Oryzias latipes: one gene and its partner. Each later gene encodes a partner of the first gene's protein in a complex. Links are inferred from orthologs where the notes say so. Each region holds a gene or a part of one and is shown in the gene's direction. Other genes may lie near its edges.

Region 1 (7,825 bases):
GTTACACACTGATGATGGAGGCTTGGTTCTGAGTCTCTGCTCTAATTTATCCCAAAGGTGTTCTATCGGGTTCAGGTCAGGACTCTGTGCAGGACAGTCAAGTTCATCCACACCCAGACTGTCATCCACTTTGGTGCACAGTCATGTTGGAAGACAAAGGGGCCCGCACCAAACTGTTCCCACAAGATTGGTAGCACGGAATTGTTCATAATGTTTTGGTATCCTGAAGCATTTAGAGTTCCTTTCACATAGGGGCCAAGCCCAAATCCTGAAAAACAACCCCACACTATATAATTCCTCCTCCACCAAATTTCACCCTCGGCACAATGCAGTCAGAAATGCACCGTTCTCCTGTCAACCTCCAAACCCAGACTCATCCAATAGATTGCCAGATGGAAAAGTGTGATTCATCACTCCAGAGGACGCGTCTCCACTGCTCTAGAGTCCAGTGGCGGTGTGCTTTACACCACTGCATCCAACACTTTACATTGTACTTGGTGATGTGTGGCTTGAATGCAGCTGCTCGGTCATGGAAACCCATTCCATGAAGCTCTCTGCATTCTGTACTTGGACTAATCTGAAGGTCACATGAAGTTTGGAGCTCTGTAGCAGTTGACGATGCAGAAAGTTGGTGACCTCTTTGCACTCTGTGCTTCAGCATCAGCTGATCCCTCTGTCAGTTTACGTGGTATACTACTTCGTGGCTGAGCTGCTGGTGTTCCCAAACTATTTTATCTTGTTCTGATAGAGCTGACAGTTGACTGTGGAATATTTAGGAGCAAGACAATTTCACAACTGGATTTGTTGCACAGGTGGCATCCAGTGACAGGTCAATGCTGGAATTCACTGAGCTCCTGAGAGCGGAGCAAATTATTTCACAAATGTTTGTAAAAACAGTCTGCATGACTGACTGCTTAATGTGAATACACCTGTGGCCAAGTGATTAGGACACCTGATTCTGATCATTTGGAAGGGTGAGCAAAAACCTTTTACACCAAAGATGTATTTTGGTGTAAAAAAAAAGTTCTTTTATGTTTATTTAAACTAACAAGCAAAAATGCTGTGGCTCAAAGAGTGTAAAGGAATATTAAAAATACTGTATTTAGACTCCAATGATAACAAACTTACAACTGAAAAAATCATTAAATCAGATTCTAACATAATCTTGACTGATAATAAAAATACCCAATAGATGGCACAAAATAAATAATCAATTGCAGCCCCACTTTACTTTATTGGCATGCAATATATATTAAGTTTTTCGGTCTATATTGATTTCATATCCGATGTCTGATGATGTATAACCAAACTTTATGCTCTGTTTTTGGGACAAATTTTGTCATTAAAGCAGAATGTGTGACATGCTGCTTTGTTGAACTGATTTAAACACATTTAATTAATAAGACACGTAAATATAGTATTTTTCATGTTTTGGGTTGTATTACTGAACAAACAACTTTGTGTTTCCTCCTTCCAGTGGGCTGGTACCTCTTCATAACGCTTGTTCCTATGGACACTATGAAGTTACTGAACTTCTTCTAAAGGTACAAACACACACTATTACATTGTTCTTCAAGGAAATGTCCAGACAAAATACAATTTTCTTGTTATTTTGGACACAAATATTAGTATTTGACTAATTATTGACCTCCTAATTTGACTTGAATTTTTTAAAGGTTTCTATTTCCTCTGCTCAGTTGCGATTTCATTTAAAAAAAAAACTTCTGGGTAATTTCTTTACTACATTTCTTCCTTTTTTTGTGCTAAAATTGTACGTTTCTTCTGATTTTATTTTCCTCCTCCTTCTCAGCATGGAGCTTGTGTGAATGCCATGGATCTGTGGCAGTTCACTCCTCTGCATGAAGCGGCGTCTAAAAACCGCGTGGAAGTCTGCTCTTTGCTGTTAAGCCACGGCGCTGACCCGACCTTGCTTAACTGCCATAGCAAAAGCTCAGTGGACATGGCCCCCACTCCAGAGCTGAAGGAGAGGCTGACATGTGAGTCTGTGTTCACCTGCAGCTGACCCCCGATAACCTGCAGGTCAACCTGCATCAAAGGTTGAGCAGCAGCAACAAAAGCCAATTATTGCTTATTTTTCTATAACTTTTATCCCCTGCAGCTGCTCCAGAACCAAGAAGAAATACTCTGCATATGAAGAAAACAGAATTGTTTTTTAAGTTAGGAGACAGTTTTACAATAATTTCTTTCAGAATAATTTACCAAATAAACTGTAAAAAGTCTAGTTTTTCATCATCATATGATTTATTATTTCTACATTCTAACCCGATTAAATCAACTGATTATTCTCATAGAATAAATCATTTAAAAAAATGCTGTAATTTCTGAACAGGTCAGAACCTTTGAAAGAAAAAATAAAGAAAAATAAGTTTAGAATAAATGCTACTTAAAATCAAGCCGTTTTATTTCTAGATCTAGTTGCAGTTAAAAAATCCACATGAAGGATGAAAATACCCTCTCAAAAAATGACTTTATGATTTGATTTTATTTATCAGTTTATCCTTTGCACAGCTGTGTTCCCATTTTTTCTGTTTTTTTTGTTGTTGTTTTTCTGCGTTGGCTCCTGGCCCCTTCTGTCCTCAGAGGTTTCGGGAGTGCGGTTAAAGAGCAGCTGTCTCATCGTGTAAAGTCGGGCTTTCACGTTTATTGAGAGAATCTGGAAAGTGAGAGTTTAGTCACGTCAAGAAATCCTCAAATTTTCTGCAAGAGTTCAAGTCTTTGGAAAATAAAAAAAGGAAATTATATGATAGATTTAGTAATCTCAGTCTTGCACATAGATTTATCTCCACAAATTTAGGATGACAACAGTTCAGGGTTCATTTGTTTGTATTTTTAGCTGCGGGAGAAACATCTAGAAGTGAGCTGACTTTGTTACATTAGGCCTACTAAGTTTCAAATGGTCAATAAAGAAAAAGAAAACGTATAAAGTATTTAAGTATGGTTACGAGTGAAGTTTCTTTTTTTTTTTTTTGTAAAAAGGCAAAAAACTACGGTGGCCGGCTGACCAGAGAAGTGACGATTCATCAACTCTTTTCAGGACTAGATTATCAAGGACTGCCGTATTGATTAGCCTTGATGTTATCAGTTCTCTATAACTCTATTACTGGGAGATTTCTCTCCTCTGAAGGCTGAATGGAGGCTTTGCAGCATTTGTTGCACAAGCGTTGCATTAGCAGACCCAGAGGTTTTAAAAAAAAAAAAAAACAAGTTAGGGAAAGACAGAGATTACACTTTCAAATATGGCACACCACAGGTGTTGCATAAGTTAACTGAGTCAAAATTTTGTAGAAAAAAATAAAACTCACTAAATTTTGAACCATTTTGTTTTTGTGCTTCAGGTTCTACAGTTGTCCTCTTTAGGCTTAATTTTAGCTTAGCTGTGCCATCAGGTGGAGTTTCTACCTTAAACAAGGCAGCTTCTCCCTACAAACACATTTTAACAGATGAAATCGGTTTTGATCATGACGAATCCTATAGGTTTGATAAAAGTCCCACTCATATCATCCTTTCATCTATTTTAAAAGCGTTCCCAGTGGTCCTTTAATTACGATATATTTGCACAATCTCCCGCTAGCTTACAGCCCCTCATACCTCCAACCTAACATTACCGATGCATCAGAAATGGCGAGCAATATCAGAACAATCCAGCCGGACAGTTTATAGCCCGATACCAGCTCAGACAAGGAGAACAAAGATGTACATAAATCTGTTTGTCAAGTGATTGGAGCAGAATGGAGCAGAGCAGGGTGCTTTTGCCCACCCAGCGCATTTTACACTACAAGCTTTTTCCAACAGCATTTTTTGTCTGCTCCTAATTCACAACGATTCATAAAGAAATATTCAGAAATGCAATTCAAACTTAATTTTCTTAATCCCTACCATCATCAGAAAAATGCTAGAAGAGGATGTTATAAACACCAAGAACCCTGTTTTCATCTTAATGGGTCTTTAACATTTAAACAACGTAGAAAAAAAATTAAAAGGAGTAAAAGTAAACTCAAACAATATTTTAAAAGGCAGCACATCCAGAGCCCACAGCAGATCCAAAGGTTTTTCTTTTTTGTTAGACTGAATTTGGTCCGAAATCATTTGTAAATATTTATACATTTTAAGGCTTAGCTTGTCAAATTTGTCATTGTTATTCATGGAAGCAATATTTTTTGTTATCGGTTTATTCCTTCTTTTAAATCTGAAGGTTTTGTTGTTGTTTCAGATGAATTTAAGGGCCACTCGCTCCTCCAAGCTGCTCGGGAGGCTGACATGGCTAAGGCCAAGAAGACCCTGGCTCTGGAGATCATCAACTTTAAACACCCTCACACACATGAAACTGCACTGGTGTGTTTGAACTCAGTCTCCTCACTTTCCTATTATTGAATGTGATTTTAATGTGGTTTTCTATGCTTATGGTAATTAGCACTGTGCAGTGGCATCGCCACACCCAAAGAGGAAACAGGTCACAGAGCTGCTGCTGAGGAAAGGGGCCAACGTCAATGAGAAGAATAAGGAGTGAGTGACTCTTGTTCATAAATTCTAAAAAATAAAAATCCAGCAAGAAGCTTATTTTCCAGATAAGCAGATGGTAAAACTTGACAGTGATCATTGTTACATGTGAGGTGACTCATATGGTAGTGTAAGTTGCAGCAAACTATTCTATTATGACTTTAATGATGAGTAATTACTGGAATTTGGAGCATATTAAACATTTGAAAAACTGGTAAAAAAAAAAAAATTGAACCCTTATTTAGCTTCTTGTAAGCTTTTTTGCCTAATTTATCTACAATTTTTAAGAGCATGTTAGGAACAAATAGTAATTTTTTGATTTTTCTCTGCTTTTCTTCAGTTTTATGACTCCTCTGCATGTGGCGGCTGAACGGGCTCATAATGACATCATGGAGGTGCTACAGAAACACGGTGCAAAGGTGCGAGGTTTTTTGTTTTGTTTGTCACAAAATCTATGTAAAAAATTAAAGTAAATAAAAAAATGTATTTTAAAAATAGGTGATTTACGAATGATTTTTATTGTTAAACTCTTGCTCTAAATACCAACGATGTGCAATAATGTGACGCTACCACCACAAAACTGTGAACATTTAAAGATGCGACTTATGTAGAATACATTTTATTTGAATAAGACAGAAAAGTCCATGCGAGACATCGCACATGTTTGTGTTTGCAGGTGAACGCCCTGGACACGCTGGGTCAGACGGCTCTGCATCGCGCGGCATTGGCCGGCCACCTTCAGACCTGCAGGCTGTTGCTAGGATACGGGGCAGACGCCTCTCTGGTGTCGCTGCAGGGCTTCACGGCTGCTCAAATGGGAAACGAAGCTGTGCAGCAGATACTCAATGGTACGCTGTCCCTCATGATGGTGGGAGGTGGGGTGCGGAGTGCATATGAACTGTGCACGAGTGCGCCCAGAGGTTTAGTTGCTATGCAGCAGCAGTGAGGTGGGGGATTAACTGGAAGTGTTTTGTAAAGGTCAATATTGATATATTCACAGTGATGTTGCAGATGGGTAAATAGGTTTTGAGGCTGAGTTAACTAATCCTTAGTTTAGAAGAGACGCCACATCACAGTTCATTGCTGTGTAATGCTCAGACTAAAGATTTGTTTTTCATCAGTTAAATTGTGTTTCTCCTAAGGTCAAGTCATAAAGAAACAGATGCATGAATGTGGCTCCACTATGTGCTTTGTAAGCTTCAGAAAGAAGAATCACCTTTTGTTGACCAGAATCAGGAAACAGATAAAGGTCATACCGAAAGTTTGTTTTTTTTCAGCTGTCAGTCTGGATCCAGTGAGAAAAAAAATATAATATATAAATATATAAACCGTTTTTCGTTTTTGATTATTTTTGGTAGCCATTGTAAAAGGCTGCGATTCATTATTTTCAGCAAGTTGTTGCCATGGAGAAAATCTGCCAAATTTTTCTCCCGTGGATGTCAGAAATGTTTCTTTCCCAGCATTTTTAGACCAAGAGCACTAAAATGCTGCTAAAGTTGCTCTGGTGTCAACTGTGTACTAGAAAGTAATTTTACTTCGAATGAACAGTTTCTTTCCAGGTATAGTTTTGTTGAGGGTTGAGTTGAGCCTCTTCTTGATTGTTTGATTCCTGTTTTTGCGGCTCTGCAGAAAGTGTCCCTGTGAGGAACTCTGATGTGGATTACAGACTCCTGGAAGCCGCTAAAGCTGGAGATCTGGACACTATCAAGGTAATTTTCCTTCTGTTTAAATATCTTAACTTAAAATTTAAAAAAATGGAAAAATCTTATCAAAATCATATGCGTGTACCAGAAACAATATTCATTTATAAAATCCATTTTTTCTTTAAATTTATTTTAGTGGTTTACTAATAAATATTTTTTTTGTATTTGAAGAATTAGAGAAGAACTAATTTTAATTAGTTCAGTTTAAAATATTTTGTTTTAAAAACTAGAAAAGAAAGTTTCCCCTTTGCAGAGGTAACCTCTAGAATTTCTTCTCCAACTCTGTTTTTTTAACCCCTTTTGGATTTTTTTCAGTGCTGTCTTTATTTCTAGTCTGTTAAAACTGTTGCTGTAGTTTGTTTTTGCCACAGTTATCAAAAACTTCCTTTATTTAAACTCTGATCATCTTTTGATTTGTTGTAAAACTTCCCAGTGATCTTTTAATTACGATCATGCTGTTCTTAGGCCAAAAGTAACATATCTGCGTTGTTTTCTAGAACATAGTTTTTGCAGAGAAGCAGTAGTTCATTAGAAATTCACCTCTGAGTTGTGGGTGGGACGGTTGGTGTGGGGTAAGCCTGCCCCTACTTCCTGTCATCGTCTGTTTACGCGCTCTACCACTATCTTGCAACCCCTCACAACCCCAACCTAACATTACCAACAAACAAAAAATGGCGAGCAATATTGAAGCTATTGAGCTGTATAGTTTTCAGTCAGATTCCAGCTCAGACGAGGAAAACAAAGACGTACATGGATCTTATTGTCTGCAAGTGGATGCATCAGAATGGAGCGGAGCAGAAAGATTGTAGCTTGCCATAGAAGCTTCTACGGCACTTCTACAAGCTTTTTCCAACAATATTGTTGAATCTTCTTCTGATTCACAACGATTTTGAATAAAGAAATACTTATTTATTTAGCACTTTTAATCAAACAACGTAAAAATAGAAAATAAATGAAAATGCTAAAATCTTAAGAACACTATTTTCATCAGAGAGGGCCTTAGGACGTAAAATTTTTGCAGCAGAAGATAACCTGGTGTGTCCTCACACTTGCTGATAGGCAGTGGGTGATTATCATGTTCAGGAGGCTCCGTCAGTGTCTGAGAGGGGAGATGCTTTGACACCCGGGCAGGTGATGTTTAGAGATATGATCTCGGCCTGTCAGCTTTCTTTTTTGATTTTAAGACTAAAATAAGAATAATGTTTGCAGTCTTTTTTTACAACCAAAAACAGATCAGATCTGCCTTTTGGTTGGATTTTTATGCTAAAGTTTCCTTTCTTTTCTGATTGCAGTCATTGTGCACGCCTCAGAATGTGAACTGCCGAGACCTGGAGGGACGGCACTCCACTCCTCTTCACTTTGCTGCCGGCTACAACCGAGTGTCGGTGGTGGAGTACCTGCTGCACCACGGGGCTGACGTTCATGCGAAAGATAAAGGGTGAGGCCTCAGATTCTCACTCATTTTCCACTGATATCTTTTTGTAGTTGACATTTTCATTTTTAGACTGAATTCTTTAAAAATGATCTTGTTTTCCTCCCCCTCTGTAGTGGTTTGGTCCCTCTTCACAATGCCTGTTCATACGGACACTACGAAGTGGCCGAGC
Region 2 (7,825 bases), on another chromosome or scaffold:
AAAATTAGTCAAAACTGTGGATTTATGTTTGCTAAATATATAAACTAATTCATGGATTGAAGCCAGTTTACAGGAAATATTTCTATGATCTATGAACCAATGACACAACAGAAAGAGGAGATCCAATGTTTAGTGGTTTTGTTGTGAGTCTGCTCTCTGTACTGTAAAAGACGAGTTTATAACAGCAGGAGTCACCATGGTAAAGGCCCGTACACACCGGGACGAATATTCGCCAGCGTTTTTCGCCACGTTTTTTGTGTTCACACCCAGGCGATTTTCGCTGACGATGAGCCGAGCGAACATGCAATTTCATTCCCTGACATTAGATGGGGCTTAATGTAAAACAGAAATACTCCTGTACACAAGGTGGCGCTGCGCAACTTTAGGCTTCTTAAAGTCGCTTTTCCCTCAGAAAAAGAAAGCAAGTATTTACGCGCTTGTCAGAATAATTCAAAGAAAACATGAATATTTCAAGCACCAGTAGCTCCAACTGGTGCTTGGTTCGGGGATATTATAGAATGTCCGTCATTATTTCTTCGCGGCTGTGTAGACGCTACTTGGCGTCTATCTTCTTCGCTGGTATGTGTGCTCAGAAAGGCAGTTTTGTGTTTGAGCGCCCCCAAGTTGTGTTTTACTGTAACTTCAGAAGCTCCAGACACGTGTGCAAAAGCGCCATTCTCATTGGTCGAGTAGATTTAGAGGCGACGCGTCAAACCAAAAAAACGAACCCGAGGCGTTTTTTAAAAAGTGACGCTTTGACGCGTGGCGTTTTTTCGCGTCGGTGTGCACACTCACATTGGTGCCCTTTGTCTAGTCACGAGGCGTTAAACGTCGGCGAAAATGGCGGGCGAAATTCGTCCCGGTGTGAACGGGCCTTTAGTGCGGGCGCTGCAGCAACAGATTCTGAACCGCGTACTTCACTGAAATCCTGCAGATTTCTGCACGCCACCGCCATGCCGCCATCTTTGTCTGAAAACCGCAACCTCACAGTGTTGTAAATGTATTTTCTGCCAGTCCTTTCACCATCGTCACCGTTTCCCCCCCAACAGCACAGCTGAGCAGGACTCTGCTCCCCCCCAGGACAGCTCCGGCCCGGCTGCGGCCCCTGCTGCTGCCCCTGGCCCGGCTCAGCAGCAGAGGGTCTCCGTTCATAAGCCTTTCACCCAGTCCCGACTACCTCCAGACCTGCCCATGCACCCCGCCCCCCGCCACATCACAGAGGAGGAGCTGCGGGTGCTGGAGGGGTGTCTGCACCGCTGGAGGAGCGAGGTGGAAAACGACACCAGAGGTGGGTCCCACAGGACAAGATGGAGCCTGAAGTCTGGTCTTGTTGTTCTTGACACTGTGCCCCCCCCCCCCCCCCCCCCCCCCCAGATCTGCAGGGCAGCATCAGCAGAATCCACAGAACCATTGAGCTGATGTACTCGGACAAATCCATGATGCAGGTGAGCGGCTGACATCCAAACACTCAAACCGCTGCAGGACTTCTTTAATGTTCCGCTGCTTTGTCAGGTTCCATACCGACTTCATGCGGTTCTGGTCCACGAGGGCCAGGCCAATGCGGGCCACTACTGGGCTTACATCTACGACCCCCACCAGCACTGCTGGATGAAGTACAATGACATTTCAGTCACCAAGTCGTCGTGGGAGGAGTTGGTCAGGGACTCGTTTGGGGGCTACCGCAACGCCAGCGCCTATTGTCTGATGTACATCAATGACAAGAAACCCTTCCTCACTGAAGGTACAGATCCAGTGGGGGGCGGGGGCGCTCTGTGTGTCAGAGCCTCAGACTTCAGCTGTTAAAGAAGGTTGAGTTTAGTTTGAGGTGTCGTTAAAGGAGGCTTTTCCTTTTCTGGCCTTCAGTTCCTGTTCTCAAGTCCTCTGTTAACACAGGAGTTCTGTTCAGTACAGCACAACCAGAATCTGATCCCCTCTTGGTTTCCAGGGACATTTATCTTTTTTTTGGTGAGGGGGGGGGTTTCATTTATGAGCCCGAAACCTTTTTTTTTGCATCTTATTGGTTGAATGCTATAAATCCTTCAACCCATTGTTTGTTTTTCTTTCTTTTAGTATATTTTGCCATTTTTTGCCGTTTAAGTCCTTCTACAAATTTTCAGCTATTTTAACCATTCAACTATTCAAATGTTCAGCTCTTTCAGCTTTTTGCAGCTATGAGTTTTGGTCCTTCAAATCCTTGAACTTTTCAAGATATTCCAGGATTATGTGGATTATATGTCCTTTTCAATATTCCTGGTTGGTGGTGTTATGGCATGAGACATGCACTTTGGTGCACGACTTCACCAATTTGATATCTGGAGCTTGCATTTTTCCACAAACATATCTTTTTTATTATTGTGCTGTTTTCCCTCTATTAATGGTAAACTTTGAGCATCTCCATCTTTCTTGTTTTTTTTTTCTGCCACATATTACCCTTTAAGTTTAATTTTCATTCACCAATATAGCATTCAACCCTGCATTTTCTTCTGGAAATGCACCTCCTTCTAGTTTTTAAAATATCACCCTGTACCCTGTATAACCAAAATGCAATGACAAACCTCAGTTTTCATGTAAGGGTTAATGACAGACTAGTTGTGTTTTATCAGAAGAAGCCTGAACCGTCTTTTTGAGGGATAATGCACACTTCAAAGGCCATTAACCTGCTCATACCATGCTCACTGACAAAAAAAACAATATTTAATCATTTTTTAGGACTTTATTCTTGTCATTTTTCTCAGTTTGGATCGCTCAATCTATTTGTTTCATGGTGCGTTACGTTGTCACGGTAACGTGGCACCGCTCCGCTTTGCCGGCTGGGCCAGCACGGATCTTGGATCACCTCTTAACGCTTCTTTTTTTCCAGATGATGAAGCTAAAGGTTGTTTTAAAGAAGCCAGAGCAGCGATACAGAACAGTTGAGCTATGTGACCGGAACTTCTTTTTTAGGTGTCCATTATGTAAGGGTTAATGGCCGACGAAGTGTGCATTATCACTTTTTAACGCACGCCGTGAAAGCCTTCGCGTCGGACGGTTGCTTCAGCAAAGTGCGTTAAAAAGTGATAATGCACACTTCGAAGGTCATTAACCCGCTTATACCACGTTTACTTACAAAAGCAATACATAGGTACCAGTTTTAAGTCTCTGCCCAACCGTTAAGCTGACTTACTGTGGCGGCCCCTAACGGTGGAGGCTGAAAGGCGGAGGAAAATCGTTTTCTTGACTTCATTCTTAATGCTCTCACTATGATCTATGAACCAAAATCGCTTCTTTTCTTAAAATCCTACATTGTGTTTTGCCGGATTCTCTTTATTTATTTATTTTTTTACAAACTGTCTTTCACAGTTGAAGCATCAGTGACTGATGGATGCTTTTTGGTTCCATTTTTCCATATTGGATATAGTCGGACGGCTGAACAGGGCGGTCCCTCACTTCTCCCTCCTTTGTCCTTCTCTTGCAGAGGAGTTTGATAAAGAAACCGGTCAGATCCTGAGCGGCATGGACAAACTGCTTCCAGACCTGAAGCAGTACGTGAAGGAGGACAACGAGCTGTTTGACAAGGAGATTGAGGAGTGGGATGCCCTGCAGGCTCACAAGGCCCAGCAGGAGAAGCTGGCGCTTGCCGCCGCAGCAGCAGCTGCTGCAGCTGCTGCATCATCCAGCACCTCCACCTCTTCTCCATCCCCACAGCCCATGAGCATCGAGTCCAGCCCCCCCGACAATGCAGGTTAGTGACAGAAGACTCAGCAGAAAAACCAAACTGAGCATGAATCAGCATTTCAGCTCTGCTCTCTGTATTTTTAGAAGTCTTATAGCTGGAGGGTTGATGCCCCATCACATTCTGAGAAGGAGACTGTTAATGTATGATCTGTTTCCACTGTCTGTCTTGAAAAAGTGATGGTTAAAGCATAAAAAATGCTCTGTGATGCTTTGGGATGCTGGATAACATCAGTTTTAGGACACACTTGTCTGATGGAGGCTTTGCTCCCCTGCAGCCCCCCAGCAGGACCCAGAGTACATGGAGCAACCGTCTCCAACCAATGACTCCAAGCACCTGCAGGAGGACACTGAGAGGGCCATCTCCAGGGCTGCTGCTGAGCAGGGGGAGAGGGGGCCAGAAGCCCTGTTAAATGCTGTATGTACCATGCAGACACAGCACCGCCACCCATCAGCTGGAAATGACTCACTTTACCCCCATGATCACTGTCCTACTGTTTATGAGCAGCTTTCAGCTTTATATGAACATGAACACCACACAGTAGTCCTGACTAAACAGGTCAAAATAGAAAAAGCAAAGAAAGTTTTCCTGCAGCAACTTTCCTGATCCACAGTCTGTTCCAAGCAGAGCAGGCGTTTCTGCACAGACTGTGTGCAGAAAGACCTACTGAGCTGCAGGAGCTCCAACGTCTAGTGTGTAAAAAGAGTAATCGTTCTGCAGCCAAAGTTATTATGATTTATACCATGGTCTGGGTGAATACTCTGTTCTGATTGGCTGCTGGGTGTACGTTAAAAAGTGATATACCACAGTGATAACCGCACGGTGAAAGAAAAAGTTCCGGCCACCTAGCTTAAATGTTTTGTATTACTGCGCCGGCTTCTTTAAAACAACCTTTAGCTTCATCATTTGGACAAAAACAAGCGGTAAGAGGTGAACTTTCTCTCTGAACTGATGCTTTATTCAACCCATCGGAGAGATCAGCACATATATATCGCTTTATATCGCCGAATCTTGACTGCAGCGGTGGTGCGGCGCGATGTGGATGCCGCACCACGTAACAAATAGTCAGCTTTTTGTGAGAAAAATGATCCAAATCGGGGGAAAAAAAAGAATTAAGGACTAAAAACTGGTTTATATTTATTGCTTTTGTAAGTGACCATGGTATAAGCGGGTTAATGGCCTTCAAAGTGTGCATTATCACTTTTTAACGCACTTCGAGGAAGCAACCGGAGGGCGCTTCAAGCTTCCACGGCGTGCGTGAAAAAGTGATAATGCACACTTGGTCGGCCATTAACCCTTAATCCTCGGAGATGCTGCCAGCAACACTTAAAAAAAAACAATGCTCTGACATATAACCTATCGTTCACATCAACATCGTGAGTCATATGTAGAATGTAAACACTGGAGCTAAAGCTCTGATGTTAAAGTGATGAAAAAATATCAGCAAACTGAAACATCAGAAAGTAGATCTGTGACCTCTGGACACACAGACGGTTTCCAGTCTTTCTTTTACTTTGAAGCATAAATTTCAGCTGATGAAAATCCAAAGCGTTGTCAAAAAAGCTGGAATCCTGTGAGAAGGTAGACCTGGGGGCCTTGGGGGGGGTGGTCGGTCTGACGCGACCCTGAAAGCAACAGAAGCAGGACATGGAGATGCCCTTCAGCCCCTCCCTGTTGGCTCTAGTTCTAATCCTTCCAGTCACGCTGCTGTTTCCTCTGTCGCCCTTTTTCCACAGTCGCCCCCCCATCCCTCTTTTCTTCAGCCAGAGACCCAGATGAGCGCCCCCCCCAGCCCTCCCTGTGAGCAGCAGCTTGCAGAGGAGGAGTCCCTAGGCCAGCGCACAGTAGAGGTGGCCATTCCCAACGTGGGGACGTTTGTCATTGAGTCAGAGGAGGGGGGGTACGATGACCAGGTGTGAACCACAGGGGAGTGGATCTGCTGCTGTGTGCTGACCTCAGCCTGAGGATGTCATTCACAGACACTAACACCCCCACTCCCCCACCCCTGCGTTTTCTGAAGTTGCTCTGCATCTGGGGGCGCTCGGCTTTTTGACAGACCTGTTGTGTTGGGGCTCTGAAGCTTCATTGGGGTCATTGCTGTGTACAGACCCCCCCTGCCGCTCTAACAGTGCATGGACGGCTGGTGTCTGCATGCTCTAACAGCACAGATCGCCGTGACGACCTGTTGTTGTGTTTAACGCGGCTCCTTCTTCCTGGTTAGACGATGATGACCCCCAACATGCAGGGCATCATTATGGCCATTGGCAAATCCAGCAGCATTTATGAAAAGAGCGGTCCTGAGGCAGCCTTCTTCAAGGTACTCCCTCTCTCCTTTCTGCCCCCCCATTCCACTGTCATTCTGCTGTGTTTGCTCATGTCTGACGCTGTTCCTCGGTGACGTAGACGCTGAGTGAAGCTCTGCCATCGCTCAGAAAAACACCCAACTCCTTTTGCTATCTAGCTTGATCCACCCGTCTGCAGTTACACTTCGGGTGGGACTGAACTTTCACATTCCACCAGAAATGACCGAAAGTCACACAAAAGTGTCGACTCGGATGAGCTGCAGAAGTCCAGACTGTGAGCCTGATCTACACTGGTCCCACTGCAGTGTGTCTCCATAAAGTGAAACGTTCATGAATCAATCAGAAGGTTTACATTACAAACATACTCCGTCATGTTTGCGTCTGACGCTCATCCTTCTGCAATGAAAGCTTCCCATAGCAGCCATTTCCAGTCCATTAACGCGTCAATTTTGTGGTTAAAAAGCCAGAAAAACATTTGTTGTACTTCAAAAATATATACCATTTTATTTTAGAGTTAAGGTGGCGTCCCAACGGTGACACCATAAATGACACCAGCATCCTTTTTGCCATGGACGCTGAAAGTTTAATATAGGTCGTTCATGACAAAAAACAGACTTTTTACAAGGACTCAGTGAGGAGAGGGTATGGGGGCTAAACCCACCCCTCCTCTGGAAACCGGGGGGGGGGCTGGAGACGCAATGAAGTAAAGTAACTGACGGTGGTGAGACGGACTCCCAACGTAATGCAAGAGCGAGACGCCGCAGACAGATCAGCGTGAATCCAGCGTTAGTCCTTCCAGAGGTTTGAGACTCCGCCCCACCTCAGAGCCTTAACCCCTTCCTCTTCTCTGTCTCTGTCAGGCCATAAAGTTGGAATACGCGCGACTTGTGAGGTTTGCCCAAGAAGGCCCGACTCCTGAGAACGACTACCGACTACAGCACATTATCGTCTACTTCATCCAGAACCAGGCCCCAAAGAAAATCCTGGAGAGGACTCTGCTCACTCAGTTTGCTGACAGAAACTTGGCCTTTGATGAGAGGTGAGTCAGAAGTTTCACCCACGCCAAGAACTAGAACATCTCATAAAATCCCTCTGCTTCTCCCTTCATCAAAAAAGGTATCAGATCAAGATAGTTTATTCTGACCAATAGAATGACTGACTGAATAACTGCTGTTTACTTCTCTGTGGAAGTCTACAGCATTTCAGCTTTTTGGGGACCCTCTGGTACTTCCTTTTCTGAACACCAGGGGGAGGGGTCACTCAGTCCAGTTCTATTTTACAGTCAATGGTACATTTATGAAGAACACCGACTTCACTGAAGCGCCTGTTTAAACATGTTTGCATCACAAACTGCTGTTTTGAAAACAAGTCTTGGACTCCAGCAAAGTTCTTCTTATTTAATGAGTTGATCTTTAAAACCTATGAGCTTCAGACGGCAGAAATGTCTGTTTCACACATTAGTGTCAAACAGTGGTTGTCCTCACAAATGACCAGCAGAGGGAAGCAGAGTGTCCACAGCAGCAGCTTCTGACAGTCTATAACAGGGGTCGGGAACCTTTTTGGCCAAGAGAGCCATAAACGCCACATATTTTTAAATGTAATTTCGAAAGAGCCATACAATAATGTAGTGTCCTTTTCCCACACTGAGACTTAACCTCTTTTAAGGTTCTTTATTCTGGTTAATGCAGGCTGTAACAAATGCCGTAAATTAATTCAGCAGCTCCTGAATCTCTCCCGCCGAGACGAGAGCGCTTCTCCCAACTTTATATTCCCCTGCTCCCGCTCCAGCCCTCCCATTTCCCTTATTCGG

Evidence for each region. Proteins that work in one complex are often made in the same cells at the same time.
Region 2: the proteins of tankyrase-1 (region 1) and usp25 are in contact, whole or in part, in a crystal structure (PDB 5GP7), measured with the Homo sapiens proteins. The link is inferred for Oryzias latipes from reciprocal best matches to the Homo sapiens genes TNKS and USP25. Residues at the interface, in NP_003738.2 of Homo sapiens: Arg836, Ser838, His842, Leu843, Gly846, Tyr847, Leu871, Asn876, Ser879, Tyr880, His882, Asp900, Trp902, Phe904, Glu909, Gln912, Lys913, Gln934, Glu935; in NP_037528.3 of Homo sapiens: Ser1046, Ser1048, Arg1049, Thr1050, Pro1051, Ala1052, Asp1053, Gly1054, Arg1055.

What each region holds. Positions count from the first base shown.
Region 1 is NC_019870.2:18,235,327-18,243,151, forward strand, and holds part of tankyrase-1, read left to right. Parts: intron 1-1,477; coding exon 1,478-1,544; intron 1,545-1,810; coding exon 1,811-1,997; intron 1,998-4,231; coding exon 4,232-4,353; intron 4,354-4,432; coding exon 4,433-4,524; intron 4,525-4,858; coding exon 4,859-4,937; intron 4,938-5,194; coding exon 5,195-5,366; intron 5,367-6,147; coding exon 6,148-6,227; intron 6,228-7,513; coding exon 7,514-7,659; intron 7,660-7,769; coding exon 7,770-7,825.
Region 2 is NC_019872.2:2,553,603-2,561,427, reverse strand, and holds part of usp25 (ubiquitin carboxyl-terminal hydrolase 25), read left to right. Parts: intron 1-1,049; coding exon 1,050-1,288; intron 1,289-1,374; coding exon 1,375-1,445; intron 1,446-1,512; coding exon 1,513-1,741; intron 1,742-3,454; coding exon 3,455-3,721; intron 3,722-3,989; coding exon 3,990-4,129; intron 4,130-5,448; coding exon 5,449-5,625; intron 5,626-5,933; coding exon 5,934-6,029; intron 6,030-6,875; coding exon 6,876-7,054; intron 7,055-7,825. UniProt on the Homo sapiens protein: Deubiquitinating enzyme that hydrolyzes ubiquitin moieties conjugated to substrates and thus, functions in various biological processes including inflammation and immune response.